4 linked regions of the Caenorhabditis elegans genome follow. The protein of the gene in region 3 purifies or fractionates together with the protein of the main gene of each other region. This does not show direct contact. Each region holds a gene or a part of one and is shown on either strand. Other genes may lie near its edges. The genes, in order: eak-7, fcp-1, elpc-4 and C17F4.7.

Region 1 (4,761 bases), 4.5 Mb from region 3:
ATTTTTCAAAAATGTGGTCTTTTTGAGAGCATATATATTATATTTTTTGTATATATATAAAATATTTTTTGAAGGAGCGACGAAGAAGGCCGGCCGGCGTGAGGCTCCGACGCCGCGCGACTCTGACATGGAATCCTCAATTAAAATACATGAATCGTAGAAAAAGACAAGAGATGTTTGGTTATCTTCCAAAATTATGGCTTTCACCCACTTTTTGACAGGAATTTAAATTTTTTGTCACCATTTTTCACTATCGGAACTTAAAATAAATGCGAATTCTGAGCTGAAAACGTACGTACGTAATATCGTGAAAATGTTCGGACATTTCGATAAACTCTTGGATCGGCTGAAACGTCGGCTCACGGGTGAAATATGGAGCACTGCTGTCGCTGCTAGGGTGTTGGAAGCGGCAAATCACACGAGGAGTCGACGCGAGAAGAGACGGATCGACGGACGCAGTTTGAATGATTTTTTGTAATCCGCGTTAGAGAATGAGCTCATCATCTTGAATTGGAAGCCTTATAAAAATGTTATGTTTTAGTTGGTATGATGAAAAAATCGAAAATTCATTTTTATTTGAAAATTTCTAGAATTTTTGATTGAAAAATTGCAGAAACGTATGGATGTGAAAATTTACATGTAAAATTGTCGAAATATTAACAACCATTGTTTAGCTCACGGCGGCAGGACATGGGGACGGGCGGCGGAAAAGTATTATGAATTCAAAGATATAGTGATCATTTAAAGGCGCACATGGGTCTTGCAGCGTTTAAATAGCACAGGAGATACAAAAACTGATGAAAGTGGAATTACAGGTGATGTAAAGGATCAAAGAAGACTGAGAAAGTGGCAATTGGGGATTAGAGGTTCCGGAGCCTATTCACCATCGAGCAGGGGAGCCGGATCACGATACGCTTCCGAATGCATCGATTTTCCGGCCAACTCGAGCACCGCACGAGCCTCCGGATCCTTGTCGATTATCGATTTTTCCGGCGATCGTTCCTCGAGCAAGATTTGCTCTTCGAATGATTTCTGTGGTTTGTCGCCCGGGCGCCAAGCCTCGATTGTTTTGATCTGGAAAATGCATGTTTTTGTTTCGTTTTTTCGGCTTTAAGGGCTTTAGTCCCGATTCACCTTGAACTCGTCCTCTTCGGCAATGTGGCAAGGCTCAAACGAACTGGAATTCTTTTGGCACGTTCCACCGCCAAACTCCTCGTGGATAAACAACGGCCATACGGATTCGGTTCCACCAATTCCCTGAAATTTGAAAATTTCACACTTAAAAATCGTAAAACTGGTTCTCTAGATACTGAATGATCCATGGCGGGATATACTCACCAATCCATTCGGATGTTGCTGTTGCTGGTAGTTTAGGTACACGTAATTCTCAGTCCGCCCGGTCGCATCAAAAGTTGCAATTTTCGGAGCCAGCTGGAAGAGGAAACACTCGGCCGTGCCACGGTATTGGGGTCCCGCGAGAAAACCTAAAAAATTTTCAATTTTTAGAGAAAATTGGTACTCAAATAGTATCTGCTAGAATTCCGTTGCTTTATCATAATTGAAAAAATGAAGAATTACTGCGAAACTTGTAACACAGCCATGTGTGGATTTACGCAGTTCGTGTATTCCTCGTGGAGGAAGATTTTACAGTTTTTGGATGAAATGTTCAATTTTTGAAACTGTTTGTCAATTTTTTTGATATTTAAAACTGGAATCATCAATTTATCTATAATTTATAGCATTTTTGAAAATGTATTTGCTATTGTAAAACTACAATTTCTCGGTTTCAGTCTACAAAAAGAAAGATCTGAAATCTAGAAAATCTGCAAAAAAAGTAAAATCTGTAAAATCTTCTGCAAATCATAAGGTATAAATTCTTCTCGAGGAGTACACGAGCTGCGTAAATCGACACAACATTTCTTGTGTACCTTGCGAGGCGAAAAACCCAAATCGTCGTCCTTTCATTGATCTGATCACAATCATACAAGGACCTTCTCCATTAATACATTTAACCAATTGTGAGAAACTTTGCCCGTGTTTCATGTTTGAATATAAAAGTGTCCAATTTTTGCGTCGATCGAATGGAAGGTGCGAGTTGAGCACTAATTGATCGATATTTCCCATTAAATGAGTCTTGTCCGAGAGAATTGGCATTTTCGAGTCTCCAGTTTTATCCAAAAGTCGTTGGAAAATGAACGAAGCACAATAGGCGAACAGTGGGCACATTGAGAAAAAGCTTTCCAGTTCGCTCACTGGTTTTGTATTTTCTGTTTCGAAATAATCGTAGAGACGGACCTGATCCTCTCGGGTGAATTTGTTTCCTTCACAGAAGATTTTCACAACATTTCGCATTATCTGACAAAAAAAAAAGAAGTTTTTCTTTAAATTAATAAATTCGAAACCTGATCTTTTTGATCTCCAAAACAGAATCTGAGCATATCGGCGAGCTGATCGAAATGTCCCAGTCCAGTATCAATACATTTTAGGATTGTTTTAGCGAGCAAAACGCCCTGCGGCTCGTTTTTTACCAAACGAAAGTAGAATTGTGATGAATATTCACCCAGAATCGGTATGAACATTGCCTGGAATTTGAAAATTTTATATTAAAATGTATTTTCCTTCTAAAAATTAATTCACCACAAACTGGTCTCGCGTCATTTTGTCCTTTCCATCTGTGTGTTTTTTGAGTTTTTCCATAAAATGTGCATAATCCTCATCGTTAATATTTTTTAGATCTTTTCGCTTCGAATTTTGAGCTCCCATTTCTGAAATTATATGTTTTTTATCTGAAAATCCGGATGCGAAATAGTTAGTAAAAACTGTGAGAAATCAACATTTAGTATGAGAAAAAATTCAAGGGAAGAAGAAGAAAAAGTAAGATGAATAGTTTCATATTGAAAATTTTTTTTAAAAATGCACAAAAATTTGAATTTTTGGCAAAATTTGTGTTTTCACATATAAATAAAATAATTCCGAAAATCGTAATAAAATGCAACAAAAGTTATTGAATAAGAGATTAAAAGCAGGAGGCACAACATAGTAGTCATGAATCCTCTCAACACGTGCATAATCAGTAGAAAAAGAAGAAGAAGAAGACGTGAAAAGAGTATATGTATGTAGGAGAGACGCAGAGAAGCACACAAAACGAATTGGAATTATGATGATGATGAAGAAGGAAGCGACGATGATTCATTTGGGAAGAGTGTAGAGCTGGAAAAAATAGAAATTGAAGAGAGATTAGTTATTAATAATCTCTACAAATTGATTTTTTAGTGGAAATTTGGCATCTTTCAGACCATTTTTGAGCTCTTCGGCGAATTTTTCAGCCAAAATTAATAGGTGAAGTTCTATATTTTTATACTAATTTTTAATGATAAAGTCTTGGAATAACGGTGCAATCGGCCTGATTACCACGTGGTAAATCGATTGGAAAGGCGCTAGGAAATCTAAATATATTTCAAACTAAAGTTAAGAAGGAATAAAAGGATTGACTTCATACATGAAAATTATAAAATATTCGGCCAAAGAGCGTTTTTTACTGTATTTCTAATTGGGTCCCACGGCCCATATTATTGTTTTTTTTTGAAATTTCAAAGTCGACATCAAAAACAACACTGTTTTTCAAAAATAACGAGTGGTCAAAACATCGACCGAAATTTTTGAGAATGTTTCCCATTTTTCTCATTCCGTACCAATCTTATTGAGCGCTTGGCGGATGTTCAACTTGGTTCGATTGCAGCAAATCGTTGATATTCTTCTCCAAATCATCGATTCTCGTTGTCATATCATCGATTCGCCGAATAATCTGATCCGACATGTGCTGGAATCGATCCTGTGTCTGTTGCAGAACTCCTTGTATCTGAGTTTTAGGATTTTTTAGAAAATTGACAATTTTTTTCAAGTATTTACGTACCAACGACGTCAAATCATTCATATTTCCATCGGCTGGAGCGTCGAGTTGAGCGGTTGGTGTGGTAGACTTCTCATCGGACATTTTGAACTGAAAATCTGTAAAAATACGATAAAAATCACAAAGTTTAATCAGTTTTTAAAGAAAATTTGATGAAAAATCAATTAAAACTGGTGAGAATCCAGTACCAGGCAACTAGCCGTCATCTCACAAACAGTGGAACACACAAAAGTACGGGAACAACAACACGAGAGAAAGTACGTCGAAGTGAGAGACGACAGAGAAAAAGAGGGCGGCGAGAGAGTGAAAGAGACGCAGAGAAGGAGTCATTGGAGAAGGACAGATGGTGTAAACGGCGAAAAGAGCAGAATAAGATGATTTGTTTTATGTAAAATAGTGTGGATTTCGAGGAAAATATAATTATTAGAAACACTTTGAGAAAAAAAAAACATCTGAATCGAGGAATTTTTAATTAAAAAGAGAAATTTTCAAAGCAGAATGGGTTACTGTAGCTAATAAGTTGTGTGACAAGTCGTGTTTTCGTGTGTTTGGTCCGTAAACAAAACTTCGGCGCCAAAACTTCACTCGTTTCAGCAATTTTTAGGAAGTTTCCAGAAATTTTTCCTCATTCTTGCTTTTTTTCGTGATGAAATCTCGTTTTCTTTTAAGAAGTTCTTAAATTTATCAATAAACCATCAAAATTCAAGTTTTAGGCCGTCTTGCCGTGATGTCTGCCGACTACTCATCGGAGAAGTTCAAGGCGACGCATCTGGTATTAAAATGTTTCACATTTGTCTTTTGAAATTTTATTCTGATTTTCAGTTCGACGAAATTCTATGGCATTTTCGTTC
Region 2 (6,505 bases), on a different chromosome or scaffold from region 3:
AAAAGATTCTTGACAATGAGTAAATCGATAAAAACCGCTGAAAATACATACAAAAAAGGCGCTTAGTGCGCGTGTGTGCAAAAATGCTCTATAGACAAAAAATGCGAGAAAATATTTCTTTTCAAAAGAGAAAAGTAAATACTTTTTTCATAAACTTTCACTGCAATGGTAAATAAACTAGTCACTAAAAGGAAATGAAATAAGTTTTTTCAATAGCTAATCACTCTACCAATTTTTTTCAAAACTTTTTGCGAATATATAGCTTTTAATAACTTTTAATAATAAGGAAATAGTAAAAGATCGATAAAAATCCAGTTCGGCAAAACGTGTTGTTGAAACGATTGATTGTGTAATATAAGACCACATTGAATTGTATACAAATTGTAAATTATTGATTTTTGTGGAAATGTAAACATTGTACTACATTTGTTACATGAAACTTTTTTTGGTCTCGCGTAACAAATACTATACATTAATCCTATAATTCGAAAAAAATAAATCATACTTCCGAATCAAACGGCATTGCGAAAGCGTCAGCAAGAAAAATAGAAATGAATCTCATTCATTTTCAGAAAAAAATAATAACGATCAACGTGAAACGAGAGAAGAAATGAGACAATGACGCGATTTAGAAAAAAAAATTAATTCGATAAAATGAAAATAGAGGTATTTAAGTAAGCAATCGAAAGATGAATAACTCCATAGTGACAGACTTTTCTTGAATTTACAATCAAAAGGCAAAAGATAAGTGAATAAAAAGCAATCTATATTCCAAACCGTGAACGTTTATATATGACAAAAATGCAGGCTTCTAGTGAAGTTTTGATTGATTTGATGAAAATCACTCTGATCAAGCAGCCGACATTAATTGTCAGATTATTCCCATTTAAATGGAGGTAAATAGTACAGAAAACATTGAGTATCGAATCAAATGGGGAACGGGGGTGATAATTATGAGATGTAAAAGATGGGAAACAACTGAAAGAATAATAGGAAATGAAAACAATAATAGCACATGATGATTTCACAGAAAACTCATTGATCTTTTTCATCTACTGCATCGCTAATCTGACGTTCGATCAATGCAGCCATATCCTCGAACTCATCGTCATCATCAGATTCCGGTACTTCCTCATCTTCATTGTCTTCGTCATCTTCTTCTTCATCTATATTAGCTGGTGCGTGGCCTTTCTGTAAAAGTCTTTTTTTTTCAAAACACTTTTGATCTCCCAAGCAGGAATAATGATTCACGTGTTTCTTTGAATTTTTGTTTAATATCGATAAAATGTCGTATTTTTCGATAAATTCTAGACACTGGAACGATTTGGATTGATATTTTTAAGCTCAAGAAGCCAAAATTTAACTTTTTTCAAAAAATTCACTACTATTAATTTTAGCCACTATAAATTCAAAACTTTCCGTTTTATTTTCAATTTTTTATACTTGCCGCCCTTTTTACCTCATCATCAACATCAAATACTGCATCATCCTCGTTTTCTGGAACAATTCGACCTTTTTTGCGTGAATCTGACAAAAGTGCTTTGTACGACATAGGGGTATCGTCATCCTCATTATCAGAATCTGATTCCTGAAATAAATATTATTGGAATAAATTATTTTCAAGTTTCTTACCTCTTCCTCGTCCTCCATTTCAGGACAATGCTTTCTTTTCTGTCCCCTTGATGTAGAATCTGTCTCGTTTTCCAAAGCATCTCCTGATTGATTCTCAACAGATCCATTCTGCTCAACATCATCCATTTCTTCTTCATTTTTCTCTTGTTTCTCTTCTAAATTTTCATCTCCCTTATCTTCTCCAACATCATTCCCATCATCATCCTCATCCTCATTGTCTCCATCGTCTTCATCATCCGATAGAGCTTCATCTACTTCATTATTCATATCAGCTAACGCGGCTTTCCCAATTGTGTCCATATTTGCCAAATCATTGACATACTTTGATCCAAGTGGACGTCCAACTGGAGGAGTACTTTCTTTTGTTAGTTGAAACAGATTTTCATCTGCTTTAAGCCACTTTTCGACACAAGCATATACCCATTGAACTGTGACCACAAACTTATTGAGACGATTGGCTTGATAAACTTTTCTGAAAATAAAAGAATTTTAAAATGCTAAAATGATAAAACTAACTGTGTTCCATATCTTGCTCCAACAACATGAGTAACATCATCAGTCACATCTGGTACAATAACTGCTCCAAATTGAGTACACAAACGATAAATATCAGTTCTTTCAAGCTTTTCACCCATTGGTACGATTCCCGAAAAAACAATGACACATCCATCAAGAACTTTGTGTCGTTCCTCTTTGATCACTTCCTGAAAATCAACTTCTAGAAGTCCAAAAGACTTAAATATTCAACTTAGAATAATAATTCAATAACTAAATATTTAAAATGAAAATTTACCTTTACATCAAGCAACACTTCCTCGGATCCTCTTAAATCGTGCTTTTCATAATATTTATCATGAATATTCGTTAAAACTCGCTCAATTTCTTCAAGAACCTTATCCTCATGAGCATCATCTTCAATTTGAACTGGCATTTGTTCTTTTGAGTTTTTTGGAGCATTAATGTCGCCGACTTCTTTGAAGAATCGATAAGGTTTGATTTGAATAAGTGCTTCAGAATACATCCAGACATCTGATCGATCATCAATAATCACTACAAGATTGTCGCCACATGGGAATAGAGCCTGAATAAAAATTGTTGTGTTTAACACTTATTCTATGATGTTAAAAAAAAACCAAATTTCATGGTAACACTTTTTAAAAATTTGAAATTTTCATTAACAGTCGAAAAATTGATGAAAACTCATTTTTCATTCATCACAATTCTGATCGATTAATATTTTCTACGAGTTTCATGTTTTCAGGGCTGAAGATTTCTTGTTTTTCGCTTTAAAAAAAATGGTGTTTTTTTTTGACAAAAAATGTACTTTCCGTTTTTTTATATTAAAGAGCAAAAAAACGAAGAATTTGTAAAAAACTTTTAAATGACTTTAAAATTATAGTTTTTAGTTTTTCGCTTTTTTCGTGATTTTTGCGAATTTTGGGCAAACTCCATTGGAGTTTGAAATTATTTTTATTTTTAATTTTTAAAAATTATACCTTCAAATTATTGGTCTTGTGTTGAGCCGAGAATAGTTCATCTCGAGACAAAATGCGTTGTTCAAAGAGTCGAGCATCTGGATCAAGAATCTGAGCAATACGATGAGCATATTGACGTTGTCCATAGGTAACAATGTGCATTTCATACATATTTGACATTTTATTCAAGAATTCTGTTGTATGTGGTCGGAGTTTAGTGGTATAAACACGAGAGTGAAGGTTATATTTGGTGATGTCTTTGTGCTGAAATTTATAGAAAATATATGAGTATTCCTATCAAGAGTGACAATTTTTCGATAATTTTAGAAAATCAAAAAACACAATTTTTTTGTACCAAAATTAAATTAGAAAAAAGGTTTCTCGGAAAATAATTTAAAGTTTTTGTCGATTTTTCTTATTACGATAAGAAAATTATGCTTTTCTAACTTTATCATTTACATAGAAGCTCGATGAGAAATTTTTTTTGAAATCTTTATTAATTTTCTGAAAAGTGTTTTTTTTTTCGAAAAATGGCTTTACATTTTGGCCATTTTTTTTCTAGAAGAAAATTATATGGTTGTTTGAAATTATTTGTTTTCATCGACACGACCAAAATTCGTTAAATTTGTGTTTTAATTTTTTGCTAATTTTCGGAACATTTTTTTTCAATTTTTCAGTTTTCTCTGAGAAAAACTGAAAAAAAACTTTTTTTTCGTCAAAACTATTGATTCTTACATTTTCAGTATCCACAGTCATTGGTTTGTCGGAAGTGTGAATAATTGTCTGATCCAAATCAACAAGCAATACGAGTTTTCTATTGGTGATCAGATTGTTTTCATCGGCTGATCCAATCTCTTTTGCTAGCTGAAAAAAAAGTTTTTTATCGAAATATTATTTGCCTAGTAGGCGAATTTTTGAGCCAAAAATGCGGTTCACGGTCTCAACACGACAATTTTTGATAAATGCAAAAATATGTTCGTCTTTAAAAAGAACTGTAATATTATGGGATTTTCATGAAGTTTTCTATTTTTCTCAAAATCGTATACTTTACTTAAAAATAGTTTAAACTTGCTTTATTTTAAAGTTTTAATTAACTTTCGAAAAACGATGAAAATTCTGCATTAGCTATTTAAAGGCGCACAACGTTTTGCGAGACCGGTTACCGTATTTTTATTGAAAAAATCGCCGCATCCGGGTAATAAAAATGATGCTAACCGTATCCGACACAATAAGTTCTGGAACATGATGAATCATAGATACATTAGCCGTTGATTGTTCCTTTCTCTGACCGGCTCGTCCTCCCTTTTCACGTAGATCTTTACCACATGTTGCACACATATCTTTGATAACAATTGCATGAGTACATTCGGATACTGTAGCAATCACTTGACCCTGAAAATGAAAACAGTTTCAATTGAATAAATAATTTCAATTTACCTTATTCAATACGATTCCTGGTTTAAGACCTTTTCCAAAAGTAACTACACCCTCACATGGTGTCTTTATCTTTCCCGCCACTTTTCCGTTGATTTTGAATTCTATCAGAACGTGATCTTTCAATACAAAACTTCCTTCACTGGCCTTTTTCAGGCCAGCTGTGCACTCGGCATCGTTTCCTTCAAATTTAATATCCATCTGGAAAAGAATATTTATATCTTTTCAATTAAGATATCAAATTCGACTGTTATTGAATTATTAAATGTTATTTAAAAGTAAAATTTTTCAACAATTTTGTGTTCATCATCTAAAATACATATGTACGCATTCTCTCCAAAACTTTTTTTTCAATTTTCGATTTTATTACCAAAAGGTTAATTTCGGCGCTTTTTTTGAAATCGAATCTGTAAAATTAGCCATTCTGATATTATTTGCGGCAAATTCAGGACCGAGAAATTTTGGGATAAAAATAAGAAAAAAGGTAAAAATAGAGTAAAAATAAAACGGAATTTTTATTCCAACAGGAACAAGAAAAGTGAAAAAAAAACAGAATAATTCCACAGATGGGACGAAAAATGAATAAAAATGGAAGCGTTTTTAGAAAAAAAAAATAATGGTGAAAAAAGAGAATCAAAGTCACAGTAGATGTGGTTCCCTCTAAGAAGAACTAGAAAAATAGGGGGGAATATGAGAAAAACGAATAATAGGATGGAACATAATTAATAACTCAAATATAGATACAAAAATGATTACAAAAGATCAAATTTAATCTTGGTACTCTTGTGTTTGACATCTACACTCTCCTTTGGAACTTTTCGAGACGAAGATTTCTGAAATATCTAAGATTAAAATTCTTCAAAAACAACAAAAATTACCTTCTCCTTTTCCCCAATGCTCTCCACGTCAGTTTCGTCCTTCTTCCGGCGATCCCGCTTCGACCGCTAAAATTTTTAAATTATATATTTTTTGATTAATTGAATTTTAGTGAAATATTTGTGAATAAAACGTACTTCTTCATCTTCTTGTTCCTTGGTTGATGATGAGGACGAGTATTGACGAACTCTGATGTTTGTCGTTGGTTTGCTCGAAGCAACAGTAAACGAGACAGGTTTTCGTTCAAGTGATGGAGCAGTAGTAGTTCTAGAGCTTGAAGAAGTGGATGAGTCAGCTTTCTGCATACGCTCATGAACCGATTTTCGTGGTTTCTCAGACTCTTTCTCAACGATTTTCCGCTTCTCTTTGCGATCCTTCTCGTGTTCCTTTTCCACTTCCTTCTCGCGTTGTTTCTCTTTTTCATTATCCCGATCACTCTCCTTTCTTTTACTCTTCTCCTTTTCATAGTCATCCTTCCTGCGTTCCCTGTCCCGTTCATAATCTTTCCGATCGTCACGCTTCTTGTCTTCACGCTTCACCTTTGTCTTGGGGGCCTGCAATTTCTATAAAAATTTGTTCATTTTTCCTAAACCCGGAAGATGATTTCTGATTGCTAAATTTTTCCTCAAAACAATCAACAATTAAAACAACTAATCTAAAAATAAGAATAAACCAAAACTTACATCACTGTCATATGCCTCGGTCTCTCGATCTCGCTTTCTCTCTTTCTTTCTATCTTGCTCATCAATTTTTTGAGAATCTCTTTCATGCCGACGTTCCTTACGATCATCCTCATCATCATGTCTACGGTCTTTCCTGTCTCTCCGATCGGATTCCTTAGGAAGCTCCTCTTTTCTATCCTCGAAGATGTCCTCTTCATCCTCATTCCATTTTCCTTTCTTCTTTTCTTTTTTGTCAGCAAAATTTTTGTCCAACTCCACTTTGTCCTCATCATCTAGAGATCTTGGCTCTTTTCTATTAGAATCCTCATCTTTATCATCCTGATACTTTCTTTCCTTCTTTTTTTCTTTCTTTTCGGTATCAAGATCATCCTCATCCTCATCTCTCTTCTCCTTCTTTGACTTTTT
Region 3 (3,782 bases):
ATTACAGCATTCCGAGAGAATCGAATTGTCCCTCGTCTGTTGCCAGTTGCTCCGGCATATGAACTAATTGTATGTTAAATGATGAATATAATACTAAACAACTTGATTGTAGGCAACCTTTAGCGACGAACAAATATCGATGGGTCAACTTTTCGACGCTGATATACTGGACAAACTTGCAGATCCTCCAGTCATGTCAGCAGGAGTTGAACTTCAAGACGAGAAGCTCTATACAATTATACTTGCAGGTTTTTTTGCTACAGTTAATTACAGGTATAATAAGCATTGTTATTGACAGATGCTACCTCAAAGGCTGTCACTTGGCTGGTTGCAAATATTGCGGCATTTGATGGACAGCTTGAGATTCATAGAAGAACAAAGTCTGCTGTGTCTTATCAACCCCCAGATTCTACTGATAGACCAGTTGGTAAGCTCGAATATATTTTTTCGTAATCTTAAACACAAAATTTAAGGAATGCACACCATGATTCTTGCGCTCTATGAGCAGAATGACACGTGGACACAGAAAGATTTGGCTAGAATTGCAATGGATGATTTCAACTTTACAGAATGGCTTGAAGAATATGCCCATGTACTTCCTGCACAGGCACTTGCAGCAACATTTTATGGATATTCTACTAAAAAGGACGATAGAAAACGAATCTAATTTATAATAACTTAAGATTCCTATTTATGTACAAATTTTAATATATAAAAAGAATGAAACATACGATAAAAAGTTACTAAAAAATAATTAAAATGAGAAAAAAAAACAATGTTAAAATTAGCGGCGAAAAGCTAGATTATTTACGATAAACAACATGCGCGCCCGTCATTTCGGAGTCTCGTAGTTTCAACAATCTTTTTTTTTGAGGCCCCACGAAAAGGGGAGCAGAACGAAAAGGGGATCTGAAAAAAGGGGATCTGCGAAAAGGGGAGATACGAAAAGGGGAGATACGAAAAGGGGAGCAACGAAAAGGGGATCTGACACTGTGCCAAACGCTATTTTTCTCGAAGAAAACGATACAACGATGCTCCGATGTTACGCGTCGCGTGTTGTTAAGCGTATCTTCTAGAAGAAAATTTCAAAAATCAACGTGCGTTGCGTGAGAAAAATTGCGTTTTGTGCGTTTGGCACAGTGCCAGCTCCCCTTTTCGTTGCTCCCCTTTTCGTATCTCCCCTTTTCGTATCTCCCCTTTTCGCAGATCCCCTTTTTGCAGATCCCCTTTTCGTTCTGCTCCCCTTTTCGTGGGGCCTCTTTTTTGAGGAAATTAATTTTATAAAATTATTTTGAATTTCCTTTTTAAGATGCTTCGCATTATCCAACGTATTCCTACTGAACGATATCTCTGTACTCTTCCTGTGAAAAATCCAAAGCTTCACAGAACTAAAGATCAGAGAGATATTACGTAAGATTATGCTTTTTTAAACCTTCAAGTTTTTAATCAACAATTTTCAGAAACATGGACTTACTTGAAGAACAAATTCGTATTAAAAGCGCAGAAAAAAATCGCGAAATGACAATACAAGGACAGAAAGTGAAATGGGCTTATCGATCAGAGGTAAATTATATATACTGAAGAATATTCTAAAAACTGATTTAAATTGATTTCCAGCTTGTCGGCCGACATGACCTCGATAAAAATCATCGTAATACATGGATGGCTTACCTAATCATTATTCTTGTCGGATTCGGTGCGTTTGTAACAGTGAAATCTCAGGTGGTAATGGGTCGACGCCAGGAAATGGATGCTCGCGAAGCTCTCAGAAAGGAGCTGCAATTGAGTGGAGACGATCGAAAAAAGATTGGAGTAGTCTGATAATAATTCATATTGTTTTATTGCGGGTTTCTTTATATATTTTTTAGTTAGAACCCTATTTTTGTTTTTAGAAATAATAATTAGTTTGTTTAAATCTCATTTTTCTTTTCTGTTTCTCAAATTACATTATGGTTTGGTAATAACCTTGCAAATATTTTTATCGTAATTTCCTGGTCAACATCAATATTTCATATTTTTAAAGTAATTTCAGAATGTTGAACGTTGGTGATAGTGTTCAAATTGCCGGATGTTCAACAAAGAAACGCTTACTGGAAACTTCAAGTGGTTGCGATTCATTTGACACACTCATTGGAGGAGCTTTAGTTAATTCAAGTATTGTTCTCATAGGTAATTTATTAATTTAGTTGCTACCTGTTCATTAAATACCCGCTAACCTAAAATTAAAATCACATTCATTTTCAGACGAGTATCGTTCTCGTTGCTATGGATCTTATCTCATTCGTTCATTCCTCGCAGAAGGACTTCATCATGGTCATCGATGCTTCATTGCGGATCCCACGGAAGATCCCAAAGAGATCAATCTCATACCATCTAGAAGAACATCCACGGATATGCAAAATCAAGAAATTCCAAATTCTCTGCCGGCAGAAAATGAAAACTCGATGAAAATTGCGTGGCGGTATGGAAATGTAAAACAAGTTTCCTCTTCCCTTGGACCATTAAGCAACGAAAATCAGTATGACTTTACGAAGCATGTAGAGAATCCGAATGTTGACGTGTATGCGGAGAAAGTTTTTACGCTAAAAGGGATTTACGAGACGCTCTGCCAAATTGTAAAAGAAAATGAAGCTCACACAAAATCCGGCGGAAGAGGTGAGATTTTTATTGAATTATTATACATAAACTAATGAATTTTACTTCAGGTGGACCGAAAAAGAATCTTCTTCGAGTGGTTCTGAAGAATATCGATATGGAAATTTGTGAAGATTACAAGTTCCTTGGCCGATTCCTGTGCTGTCTCCGATCTTTAGCTCGTTCGAGTTACATGATTGTATACATCACGGCTAACTCCTTCAGAGTTCCGAAACCAACTTGGCGTATACTGGAATCCGCAGCTGATACACATATTCAACTGATGCCGTTTGATGAAAATGAGAAGAAAATGTTCAAACATCTTGGCACTGCTCATGGATACTTCCATTTGAAGAGTTTGCCCCGATTGATGTCCGTTGGAACACACACTCCACCGATTCTCGATCTTATTTTTGAAGCAAGTTCCAGAAAAGGTTTCCAAATTCGAGTGATGCATCTTCCACCTGCATTTGATGAGCCAGCTCCAGGTCATCAAAATACTCCATCTTGCCAGAATATTGATTTTTGATTTTCTCGATCATGTTTATTTGTTGTTGGGATGTTTGAATGTTGAATTTTAAAGTATTTAATTTAAAGCATAAAAACGTCTTCTAAATATTTAACAAAGCTTATAAATTATGTTTAAGAAAAGACACGCTGTGGTAGAGAAAGGATAGAAACAAATATACATGAAATGATTATCTGAGATCTACTTTTAAATTAGCAGAGAGAATTGGATCAGGACACGTTTCTTCTGGTTTCAATATTTTGTCACTAGCGGAGGAGAGACGGAACGATCCATCCTGACAATATGTAATCAAAAGATTGAGACATGGAGAAGAGAGATCCATCTCGGTGGGAATAACATCCAGTCGAAGGCCAACTCGGTTGTGCTGTCGGAACACGATGACGTCACTGGAATACCATTTTTAGTCAATTAAAAACAAGAAAAAACTAACCTTTGGTCAGCATGAACTCCAGGAGCAGCAGTATCCGATGCTCGCGATGATGGAAGAAGAAGCTGGATTGGATCACTGGAACATTGAATGAAACCATTTCCAGATTGAGGTGCGATAGTCAAATCCATTGCAGATGATGATAAGTTGGTAATAGAGAGAAATACGTGTGATGTCTCCCCAACTTTAAGA
Region 4 (3,272 bases), on a different chromosome or scaffold from region 3:
ATTTGAAAAATTTAGGTTTCTCGCCAATTCTTCAAATTTTAATATTTTTTTGAAAAAAAAAATTATTGCAATTTCCCACATGTAATATTAACTTTATAATAAGTTGTTTTTTGTTTTTCTGGTTTTTTTTTCAATATCTAAAAAGTGTACTAGAAGTTTGACCCCCCCCCCCCCCCCTCGAAGAAGTGATAGCGAACAGGATAATCTTGAGATAAAAGGGAAATTGGAAAGTGACACGGATTGAACTTTTGGGAATTTGGAAGAGATGTGTAGGAAAACTACAAATTAAAAATTTGTTGAAAAATTCAGAAATTAATTTTTTTTAATGTTAAATAATTTCTAGACTGCAAAAATTATAGAAAAAATTGAAATGCTTTACACATTTCTGAAAAATTCTGTAGTTTTTTTTTTGGAATTTTCTGAAATTTCCTAAAAAATCACAAATACTAAATATACGCATTTTTATGACCTCTGCTCCGATAATGAGCAGTTCTCCATCACCGACATCCTTTTTATGACCCTGCCATAAAAATGTTTGATTTTTGAAAATAATGAAACAAGTTACTTTTTTAGTAATATTTTCAATTGTCATGCGCATATGTATTTATTATCGAGCATATCAAAATGTACAAAAAAAAATTAGGAGAGCTCAAGTTGTGCCATAACACAGGCAATCTCTTCGTGCTTTGTATTTCCTGGATTGTGGTTGAACATGCGGATTTCCAGTTCGTAGGGCTTCTGAAAATGAGAAAACAGTGAATTTAAAGAAAATTTTGAGATCACAATGGAGTGTATGTAGTTTGTAGTTTGTGACGTCGCTAGTTTGAAACTGGAACATCTCAAATTCTAGCACATACTGCTGTACTGTAGGAGTTATGTTTTCAGATAATGTAAGGGTACTGTAGGATAACTGTTTTCCTAGATTACCAAAGGATTCATTTAAAGTTATTGTGGTTGGGTACTGTAGGAGTACTGTAGGGGTACTGTAACTTACATGCGCAGCCAGAAGCTCAATGATGACAGAAAACTGGCTCAAATCCAACGGCAAAATCAAAAACAGCGGTCCTGACTCCAACGGGCAATTGTGTGCAAAATCACAGCCATCAATATCATCCAACAATCCAAAAGTGGGAATCGACTTCCAAGAGCATCCACCAGTCCATCCTGACTTGTACTGATTGATTTTCACTTTCACCTTATTATCATCAATTTGTTCTCCATGATTGTAAGTGGTAAGGTTCAGAATAAACGGATGGCGGGGGTCAATCGGGTAGTAGGGCTTCTGATTAGAGTCCAAAGTCTGAATATCGGTGATTGAAAATTGCTCATTGTCGGAGCACATGTAGGAGTGAATCGCCTTGTCAGTACCATTTGGGAATGGGCAGTCTGCAAAGTTGACCGGGTTGGCTCCGATGGTGAATGCTCCGACGAGCAGGAGAAACAGAACTGATAACATAGCCAGAAAAGTGCAATGGTTTCCTAGTTTGGAGCGGGGTTTTATATGCTGAAACCAGTCACACCACCCTTATCAGTTTAACTATTTTGTGTCGCATAGTTAATATGTGGATGACGCTGAACGAGCCATAAAAGTGCAGTTAGTGAAGTAGTGATAAGGAAAATTGGCTGCTTGGTTTTTGAAGTTTGGAAACCATATGAAAAACGGAAATTGAAAATTAAATTGCAATCTCCGGATTCCAATTACAAACTACCTATGTAAGACCTGAGATGTCCGGTAGACTGCCTATTTTCAGAGAAATTTCCAGCTTCCAGCAAATTATCAAAATCTAGATATTCCAATTTATTTAATTACTATTATAAAACACAATAAAATTCTATACAAAATTTAATAACGACACAAATGCTTCGACTTTCCAACTCCCTCCACTTTGTCCATAAACTCGTCGAGCAATGTTTCAATCATATAGTACAACTTGTTGAGGCCAACTCGGTCGATTGTGATGGTGAGCAACCATTTCTCGGGGCTCTTCTTTTCACAGTACGCGTAGATTTCCATGGTGTCACTCACGGTGTAGACAATCACATTGGGGAACTCTTCGCATCTGAAATAATAGATAAATTAATGAATGACAAGGTAAAAAGCGCCGTAAATCTACAAGAAAACATTTACAATTTGGCAGAAATTTAAGTAAATCTACATGAAAATCCGCAAGTCTACACAAAGATCCGTAAATCTTTACGTAGGTTCGTAAATCTACACTTGCTTCCGTAAATCTACACGTCCTTCCGTAAATCTACACTGGCGTCCGTAAATCTACACCTACCGTAAGTTCACACATTCCTCTTGTAAATCCACATAGTCTTCCGTAAATCTACACTATCTACTTCCCGTTTATCTACGCCACCTACCGCAAGTTCACTCATTCCTTCCGTAAATCTATGTGTAGATCCGTAAATCTACACAGTCCCCGTAAATCCACACTAACCCCCGTAAATCTACACTAGCCCCCGTAAATCTTCACGGGCTCCTGTAAATCTACACTAGCTTCCGTAAACCTACACAATCTCCCGTAAAACTACATGTGCTTTCGTAAATCTACTCAACTTTTCGTGAATCTACACAGACCACCTATATCCTCACATTCCTCCGTAAATCTACACCTATTCCCGTAAACCCACACTAAAAACCGTAAATCTACCTAACTACCCGATAAACTCACACTTTTCCAAAAAATTTGATCGGATCCTTCTTTCCGGCGTCGCCAAGCACCTCAGACAACGCGAACACTTGCTTCACCAGCTCCGGATTTGACAGCGTGAACTTGTAGTGGAAATTACCGGCAGTTTTGATATTCTCCGTAGTCCCATCGGCCCATTTCTCGATAAGCCGCATAAAATCGTCGACCGTGTAGTCGTCCGCGCTCTCCAAATGAATCCTCTTGTTCGGAAGGCTGCAAAGGAAAGAAACCGGCACCGAACGTCCCAGGATCACCAGCTTCTTTGCGTTTTTGCAAGCATCGTGACTGAAGTTCTCGAATTTCTCAAAATCCTTGTGCCCAATCACATAGAGCCTACGAAGCGGGAAGCTCTTCTCATCAAGCATCTTGCTCAGCGAGCCCATCACCGAAGCCACGTTGGATTGGATCGTCAAGCAGAGAGCCTTCACTTTCAGGGACTCCGGGAACTTTAAGACTTCCGAATTGGGGATGAGAAGAAGCCCGATGCTCAGAGGCTCCTGGTATCCACTGAGCAGTCGGGAAATGAGATCCTCCATGGAGTGACGTGAGGGCTCACGGATTTGCTGGCCGGTCCGC

What was found.
Region 1: the proteins of elpc-4 (region 3) and eak-7 fractionate together in Caenorhabditis elegans (co-fractionation; one large-scale study listed by BioGRID). This does not show direct contact.
Region 2: the proteins of elpc-4 (region 3) and fcp-1 fractionate together in Caenorhabditis elegans (co-fractionation; one large-scale study listed by BioGRID). This does not show direct contact.
Region 4: the proteins of elpc-4 (region 3) and C17F4.7 fractionate together in Caenorhabditis elegans (co-fractionation; one large-scale study listed by BioGRID). This does not show direct contact.

The regions. Positions count from the first base shown.
Region 1 is NC_003282.8:12,563,219-12,567,979, forward strand, and holds eak-7 (MTOR-associated protein MEAK7), read right to left. Parts: upstream 2,766-4,761; 5' UTR 2,764-2,765; coding exon 2,638-2,763; intron 2,583-2,637; coding exon 2,403-2,582; intron 2,356-2,402; coding exon 1,929-2,355; intron 1,485-1,928; coding exon 1,339-1,484; intron 1,258-1,338; coding exon 1,135-1,257; intron 1,075-1,134; coding exon 877-1,074; 3' UTR 557-876; downstream 1-556. Other genes in the region: hsb-1 (Heat shock factor-binding protein 1), read right to left, coding at 3,698-3,859, 3,914-3,994; Protein let-99, read left to right, coding at 4,638-4,682, 4,733-4,761.
Region 2 is NC_003279.8:9,003,967-9,010,471, forward strand, and holds fcp-1 (RNA polymerase II subunit A C-terminal domain phosphatase), read right to left. Parts: upstream 4,743-6,505; coding exon 4,545-4,742; intron 4,500-4,544; coding exon 4,323-4,499; intron 3,972-4,322; coding exon 3,843-3,971; intron 3,372-3,842; coding exon 3,129-3,371; intron 2,714-3,128; coding exon 2,426-2,713; intron 2,337-2,425; coding exon 2,149-2,336; intron 2,105-2,148; coding exon 1,633-2,104; intron 1,589-1,632; coding exon 1,460-1,588; intron 1,192-1,459; coding exon 1,036-1,191; 3' UTR 547-1,035; downstream 1-546. Other genes in the region: rbpl-1 (E3 ubiquitin-protein ligase RBBP6), read right to left, coding at 5,294-5,374, 5,420-5,485, 5,555-5,980, 6,101-6,505. UniProt on the Caenorhabditis elegans protein: During the late stages of oogenesis, dephosphorylates 'Ser-5' of the heptad repeats YSPTSPS in the C-terminal domain of the largest RNA polymerase II subunit ama-1.
Region 3 is NC_003282.8:8,014,971-8,018,752, forward strand, and holds elpc-4 (Elongator complex protein 4), read left to right. Parts: upstream 1-2,023; 5' UTR 2,024-2,033; coding exon 2,034-2,169; intron 2,170-2,244; coding exon 2,245-2,655; intron 2,656-2,705; coding exon 2,706-3,163; 3' UTR 3,164-3,251; downstream 3,252-3,782. Other genes in the region: C26B2.8 (C3H1-type domain-containing protein), read left to right, coding at 8-69, 113-248, 299-427, 474-667; C26B2.7 (Cytochrome c oxidase assembly protein COX20, mitochondrial), read left to right, coding at 1,310-1,410, 1,461-1,563, 1,618-1,821; dnc-4 (Dynactin subunit 4), read right to left, coding at 3,333-3,549, 3,594-3,782.
Region 4 is NC_003280.10:3,244,530-3,247,801, forward strand, and holds C17F4.7 (MD-2-related lipid-recognition domain-containing protein), read right to left. Parts: upstream 1,487-3,272; 5' UTR 1,457-1,486; coding exon 995-1,456; intron 739-994; coding exon 640-738; 3' UTR 558-639; downstream 1-557. Other genes in the region: fbxc-50 (F-box domain-containing protein), read right to left, coding at 1,844-2,060, 2,679-3,272.